2 linked regions of the Arabidopsis thaliana genome follow. The protein of the gene in region 1 interacts with the protein of each later gene in a pairwise test. Each region holds a gene or a part of one and is shown on either strand. Other genes may lie near its edges. The genes, in order: ENA and EMB3003.

Region 1 (3,679 bases):
CCGCATCGATTTGAGAGAGAGCATTGTTGGTTAACGCTAAAGCCGTGAGAGCGTCTGTGACGGCGGAGGATGAAGAAGCTTCACGACCGTCACCACATAGGCTGAACAAAATTTCAGCAGCTCGAGAAGGCGTGGCGCAGTGACGTAGGATGAGACCTTGAGGGAGAGCCACGAGGTTTGGACCGGAGCCGCATCGGCCGAGGCAAGCGCAGTGAGTGACTCGGAGTTCGGGAGGTGCGAGAGCTGTTAAAGTCTCGAGAATCTGGAAGGAGCCTTGTCTTCGGCAGGTGCGATTCGTACAAACGCGAATCTCCTTCACTTGTTCACCTGAGCTCCGGCAGCTCATCGCCGGCAAAGCGACGGAAGACATAACGATAAGAATATCGAACCACAAGAAGAAGAAAGATGCGCGCCTGACTAAATAAACCGAGATAATCAAATTAAAATGTATTAAATCCGGTTTGACTAAACCGGATATCACAATTGTACACTCTAATCAGCTCCCATTTTGCTTCGTTTCACACTCAAAGCCGAAGATAAAACATCACTAGACTAATTCTTAATCAAATTAGACAGCTCATAACTAAAATTTTGACTCAGAACCTTCCCATTATACTAAAGAATCCAAATATACCATTAGTAAGTACAAAGCCAAGATACAACAATTTTGCAATGTAAGCTTAAGAATATAAAACTAACGGTGGCTACGTTTCATTTATCTTCCTAAAGAACTTGTAGACTGGTGATTTCTCTTTACTTGCAACAACATCCTTGAAGATTACAAACAATATTAACAAGTCAGGAGCAACCATATACAACATTACTAAACAAGTCTTAAGCCTCCTCATTGGACATATACAAAAACTGGCAAGGACATGATCGTTAAGAGTTTCTCCAAATCATTATTGTGGATCGGCATCATCGTTTTGGTTTAAGAAGCGGAAACCCATGATGTATCTGTACTCTCCGGTGCCAAGACAGCGAGAACAGTCACTTAATCCACTCCCTCCACAACTCTTGCACCTGTGACCAAAACAACCAAAAAAAATTTTGAACTCCTTTAGTTCTTGAATCAAATAACAGATATAAAAGCCTCAAGAATACCATTTAGGCCATTCTCCTCTTGGAAGCATTTCCACATCCACACAATTAGTCCTCCCTTCAATCATATATCACAAAAAAGCAAGAATTCAATTCTCTGAAGTAGTTAATACGAAGAAATCAATCATAAGAGACATTTAAAGTTGAGAACCAGAGAGAGAAGTTATTTATCTTTACCTTTCCCACAACAATTGAAACAATCGACTCTTCCACTTCCATGGCAGATTACGCATCGTCCTTTCGCCTTCGACTTCATACACGTCTTAGCTCCAGACTGTTAACCATTGAATTCATTCTTATTAATGATATCAAGAGTCTAGAGATAGAAATTGGGGGTTTTTGGTTTCAGACCTGAGTTCTGACTATCCATGAAGGTTTGGTGAGATAGAGCCTAGTTTTTCCCTGCGTAGATTTTGAATTCGGAACGCCTTCCCCTGGCCGGACAGCCATCATCTCCGGCGGAGATAGACACGCGTTCACCGCCATCTCCGTCACTCTTCAGTCGTAACTCGTAACACACCACAACTGTTCTGTTCCTCTTCCTCATTCCAGTTTGTGTTCTCTCTCGGGCCTAAGGCCCATCTCTCAATAAACCCGTAAGAAAATTAACCAAACCGGACCGAGTTAGTGTGTTTAGGTCTGATTTAATTTTATTCGTTTCCTATGTAAAGTGTAAACCAAATAAAACACAAACTCAAAAGTGATTATTGAAATCATTACGGTTGTTATGGAGTATGGTGGACCAATCAATTGATGTTACTTGTCCAGCAATTAAAAATAATCACATTGGTGACTTGTATTTGCTTTCTCTTTTGTCAAATACTCAAAGATGTCTCTCTTCCATTGAATTAAAAATGATTTTGTTACAAGCAACCAAAATTGGATTATGAATGAATAAAGAATTAGAAAACAGAACCAACTTTGAGTTCATCATCCCATCTTTGCCAACCTTTTGACTAAAATTAAAGCCCACATGATGATTCTTGTTTTTCCAAAACCTCCATCTTCTTCGTCTTCATAGAGTCTTTTCTCTTCCTGTTTCACATTAGAGATTTAGAATCAAAACCTCAAAACTAACAGAAGATAAAAAAAAGAAAAGCCTGAATCATGGCCTTACAGTCGAAAGTAGCCCAGCTCGACGGTGGTGCTATGGTGGTTCTTCTATTCTGGTTTACTTCACTGGAGAAATTCTCATTCTTTTGATTTGGTTTCTTGAATTCTGGTAGAGGTACAACATATACATTCTCCTTCATATCTACCGAACCCTGCATTGCACAACAGTTTATGGAAATGATTCAAAATCCTTCTACAAAAGCTTTGTTAATTCTTGCCACAGGACAAACAAGGAAACTGAATGAATTTCCAATCTAGTGATCATACCAGAACCCAAAAAGATATAGATTTGTTGTCATACCGCACGAGTTCTCGTTTCTGGAGGTGTTACTTGAAGAACATGATGAAGAAGGATCTCTTCGTCAAGTGAAAGAGTTCTAGCTTTCTTTGGAGTTTCAGGTTTATATCCACTCTCTACCAAGTGACTAACTTTGCAGCTTAGCTGGCTAACTATAGGAGCCGGTTGAATCGCTCCCGGTGAAACCCATCTCTTCTCACTGTATCTAAAACACACACGAACAGAAGAAAAAAAGATTCAAGCTAAAGTTGTGTTGTAGCAGATGAGGAAGCAAAAGCGAACATAGAAAAGAATCAATACTTGGCTCTTATAAACGTGTCGCTTGAACTTCTCTCGAAATGTTGAGGCAATTCTGATTCCCAATACTCATTTCCCTTAGCATTACCGGTAGCTAGACCGAGAATAAGATGATCAAGCTATGGGATTGATACAAAATTCAACTACTGAATGTGTTCATTATATACAAAAGAGGAGCTTACATTTCATGAAAGCAACCTGATCTGGAAGCCATGTATCCAGAGTTATAGACCTTACCTGTGTCCAAAATTCATCAGTATCCCTAATTTGTATGATCCATTTACAACACAATCAATTAAAAGAGAGATTATTTAGGGACCTGAGAGATGTGGACGCCAAGGCTACGATGGATTCCAGAACATTGCATACAAATGAATATCCCAAGGTTCACACTTGCCCATCTTGGTGCCCTGTAAAATAGATAGATCCAAACAACACAATGCTCCTAAATCGTTTTTCTTACATGATCATGAAAGAGATAATGTTATCAAGATGCTTACTTTGATCTACAATCTGCACATTCTCGATTGTCTGGATGCTTCAAAAGTGCTTCCAATATCTATAACCCACACAAAATCTCTAACCTTTCAACTTTCCAGACGCAAAACCAATGGTGAAAAATCGAAAAGGAGGAGAAAAAAAGATGGGACCTTTGAATGCTTGGCGTTGAGCTCCTTGGAAACAGAGGCCTTCCTGTTCATTCTGATGAAGATGAATCAGAGAATGAGAGAGAAACAGAGGCAATTGAAAAATCAAACCAAGTTTGTAAACAGAGAGCCAAAATGGTTTCAAGGAAGAACGGATTTGAAGGAGAGGAGAGAAAAGAAATGACGGTTTCTCGTACCCTTTTATATCTGTCACTGCGACACA
Region 2 (3,923 bases), on another chromosome or scaffold:
TGGGTCCTCAATAATGCTTGCCAATGTTTGCAAGAACTGTGCAAGATCAGCACCATAGATGACACGATGATCTGCCGTCACATTCACCTGTGGGTTTGCAAGTGACCAGTCATCATTAACAAGTTCCCAGGAAAACTCGAGACGTTTTCATGAAGACAAAAAGGAGAAGAGGAACAAGTTCTAACGATGGTTGATAATAACATTTACCTGCATCTGGTTTTTCATGCCAATGCGGCCGTCTTTAGTTGCAACCACTGAAGGTTGAGATGCTCCGACAGCCATAATCGCTCCCTTCATTGATCAAAGACAAGAAAACCAATGAGCTGTTATCCTTAGCATAATTATTAGGCTAAAAGACATAACCAAGATACAAACTAAAATACACGCATAAAGGTAAAAGCACTAACTGTTCCAGGGGGTAGAATAGCATCAAACCGATCAACGCCAAACATTCCTAGGTTAGAGAGAGTGAAGGTACCTGCAATTACCCGGAAGGGAAATAAAAACAACAAGACTCAAACAATCTAGTTGAAGGATTACTCAAACTCAAATCACTTCAATATTCTAGTAGTAGGATTACCAGTGTTGTACTCCTGAGGCTGCAGCTGCTTGGCTCGAGCCTTATCAACCAATTCTTTCCATTTTCTAGATAACGAATAAATGTCAACCTGTTTACAAAAGATAGAACAACCCACTGATACCGGTTTTGAATACAGAGTAAACTCAAAATCTCTTATAAAGCATACAAAAGAAAAGAACCTTATCAGCGTTCTGAAGCACCGGAGTGATCAAACCACCATCAATAGCAACAGCAACAGCAACGTTGATGCTACTATTATACACAAAACTGTTACCATCTCTACAAGACGAGTTTACAACTGGATGTTTCGCCAGTGCAAGTGCAGTTGCCTTTGCTAAAAGTGCCGTCATTGTCACACCTTTCGACTTAATCTAAACAAACCAAACACAAAATGTGAACCAAATCAACATTTACACTTACAGTTTGTAACTAGTGTATGCTTCTGATGCACATCATAAGATACTATCATTTATAATTCAACTAGCTATCTCTCATAATCTCATCCCAAAGTTCAAAACTTCATCAAGCAACTATTATCACAATCAATGGAATCTCCAGTCTACTCTATCATACCAACCAAACGGATTTCAAAACACACTCACCTTCTTGTAGAGAGCATCAAGAGCATCCGTACTAATCGTGTAACCGACTCTAAAAGTAGGAACACCAAGACTCTCCACCATATTCCTACTCACAGCCCCCTGCATTGTCGTAAAAGGAACCACCGATCCCAACTCCACACCAGGAGCTGCCACTACCTCCTTAACAGCAACAGCAGCTTGAACTCCTCCTCCAGCAGCAACCGCCTCAACATCTTTAGCCACAATCCTTCCCATCGGTCCACTTCCAACTAAACCAGCCAATTCAACCTTCAACTCCTTAGCTAACTTCTTAGCATAAGGAGACGCCACAATCCTCTTCCCTCCTTCAGACGCCGGATGCACCGCAGACGCCGCCACCGCCTTAATGGACACCGGAGCAGCTGCAACCTTCTTCTCAACACTCACAGGTGCTTCAACTGCAGCCGTGGGAGGAGAAGCCGGAGGAGCCTTAGAATCACCACCACCACCACCACCAGAAGCTTTAGCTTTAGCATCAGCAATCTCATCTTCAGTTTCAGCTAACAAAGCAATAGCAGAACCAACAGGAGCAACACCACCTTCTTCAACCATGATTGCAGCTAGATAACCATCATAGAAAGTCTCAACATCCATATCAGCTTTATCAGATTCAACAACAACAACACTCTCTCCTTTGTTGAGTTTATCGCCTTCTGATTTAACCCAAGAGACGATTTTGCCTTCGGTCATCGTGGAACTTAGTGCAGGCATGAAGATTTCTCGGATCTTTGCTTGAATTGGGATGATTCTGGGCTTTACCCGGAAACCCGTAACGGAAGATCGTGTTTTTGTGGGGAGGGAAACTGAAGGTAAGAAGGGTGTTTGGAGAAGACGAGACATTTTTCGAATTTCGTTAATCGCAATGCGAGAGAGAGAGAGAGATAGAGAGAAATGAGATATAAGAAGAGTGAAGAAGCTCCTCGGAATTATCGAAGAGCAGGCGGAGTTTGCCAACTAATTTACCGGTGACGATCACTGTGTGACTCTTACTAGTGTATTGAAGGTGTGATACACGCGCGTTTTTGTTGTTGGGTATTGGGCTTTTTTCGAAGGCCCAATAGAGAACTATTCTGTAATCTTTTTAAAACCTTTAACCACATGTTAAGTTTTTTTACCATACACATTTTTCGCCCTGATTTTATAGTTTTTTACAGTTTTCATATAAGATTATCTCCAATGTAAATCTCTATTTTTCTCTGTAAAATAAAGCATGATTTCTCTCTTATGTATTATTTTATATGTTATTCTATTTTTAGAAGAAAATTTCATAAAAGAAAATTAAGGAGAAACTTATATTTTGTGTTTTAAAAAAATTTCGGTATACAAATTTGTTTGATGTTTGATCCATTATAAATATTGAATTTAAAGATAAATATAATTTTTAATATATTTCTTTGGTAAATGATAAATAATCTGGACAGTTGCAGAATATTAGTGTATAATACTTATAATATTATTTAGGGGTTATTGTCAAAAGAGGATGTTTTTTGATAAAAATTTTGATTTTGAGGCTTTTGTGTATGATCTTTGAAAAAGAGTAGTTTTGATAGGGCGATTTGATCATTTTACCCCTGAATAATCTCATCATCTTCTCTCATCATCTTCTTGCACGCTCCTCTTCTTTTAAATCCAATTTTTTTTCCAAATCTCATATTCTTAAAATCTATTCTAACTAAAAACATTCATTGATTCACAATAATTAAACCCTAAAGATGATAGTATTTATGAAACCAAAGCAAAAAATTAAACGAACGAAATGAAATCATCTTGCAAATGAAGAAGAAGGTGAATAGTAAAAACAGAGTTTCAGATTTGTGGCAGATCTGCAATCGAGTATTCGAAATCAAAGCTTTTCAATAATCATTTGCGTCCTCACTATTCACCATTAATGATATTTTGTTTATTGGAAGAGAATTCCATTCAAAAACTAAACCCTAATGATTATTGTAAAGGGAACCCAAGCAAAAAAAATCAAACGCACATTGATAAGTTTCTGAGATAGAATCTGATGATAAAGAGGAAGATCAGAGAAAAGAAAAAGAAACTGAGCCATCTCTCTCATGATTCACGGCCGCCGACGCCGTTCGTTACCATTGAAGGAGCTCATCTTAAGGGACAAAACCAATCAACTATCGTCACCGGAGCTAGCCCCGCTTCAATCACGTTGTAAAAAATCAATTGATCTGCAGAGAGAGAAAGAGATTTGATGGAAACGGAGACAGATCCAGTTGTTAATGGCGATGATGATGGCGTCGGTGGTTACGTTGGTGATGATGATGATGAGGGTTGATAACGACGACGACGACAACACAAAAAAGTCATACAATTTTTATTTGTTTTTGTGGTTTTTTAGACAAATAAGTCTATTATTTATGATTATTTATCGAATATCTAATAAAATGCCAAAAATTGTTTGCTTCAACGAATAATTTAGGAGTCCATTAATGAATAACATGACAATTTTGTTTTGGGCCGAAACCCACAAAACTTTCTTCAGATCATTTCACATATTGATTGATTTTTGTATTTTATTGAAAAGATAAATGTTTATTTACCTGAATAGATAATTCTAGAAGAAACCTTGTCTTTTCTTCTTCTCTAAACAAACACACACCAAAATAAAATCAAACGGTTGTTCGTAGTATGAATCACTTGCAATTTGTTTTGATAATCAATACACTATGACACCGTTTATCATCTGTTAATCGCTAATCTGAAATTTT

Evidence for each region.
Region 2: the proteins of ENA (region 1) and EMB3003 interact in a two-hybrid assay, tested with the Arabidopsis thaliana proteins (one large-scale study listed by BioGRID).

What each region holds. Positions count from the first base shown.
Region 1 is NC_003074.8:6,037,548-6,041,226, reverse strand, and holds ENA (DnaJ/Hsp40 cysteine-rich domain superfamily protein), read right to left. Parts: upstream 1,820-3,679; 5' UTR 1,588-1,819; coding exon 1,453-1,587; intron 1,376-1,452; coding exon 1,279-1,375; intron 1,160-1,278; coding exon 1,105-1,159; coding exon of another isoform or gene 1,095-1,104; exon of another isoform or gene 1,024-1,094; coding exon 903-1,023; 3' UTR 594-902; downstream 1-593. Other genes in the region: AT3G17670 (tetratricopeptide repeat (TPR)-containing protein), read right to left, coding at 1-370; AGD15 (ARF-GAP domain 15), read right to left, coding at 2,175-2,366, 2,516-2,717, 2,813-2,903, 2,992-3,046, 3,129-3,219, 3,310-3,368, 3,460-3,510.
Region 2 is NC_003070.9:12,588,045-12,591,967, forward strand, and holds the start of EMB3003 (2-oxoacid dehydrogenases acyltransferase family protein), read right to left. Parts: upstream 2,180-3,923; 5' UTR 2,041-2,179; coding exon 1,183-2,040; intron 952-1,182; coding exon 760-951; intron 669-759; coding exon 581-668; intron 479-580; coding exon 408-478; intron 292-407; coding exon 208-291; intron 88-207; coding exon 1-87. Other genes in the region: AT1G34440 (uncharacterized protein), read right to left, coding at 3,304-3,383, 3,756-3,798. UniProt on the Arabidopsis thaliana protein: The pyruvate dehydrogenase complex catalyzes the overall conversion of pyruvate to acetyl-CoA and CO(2).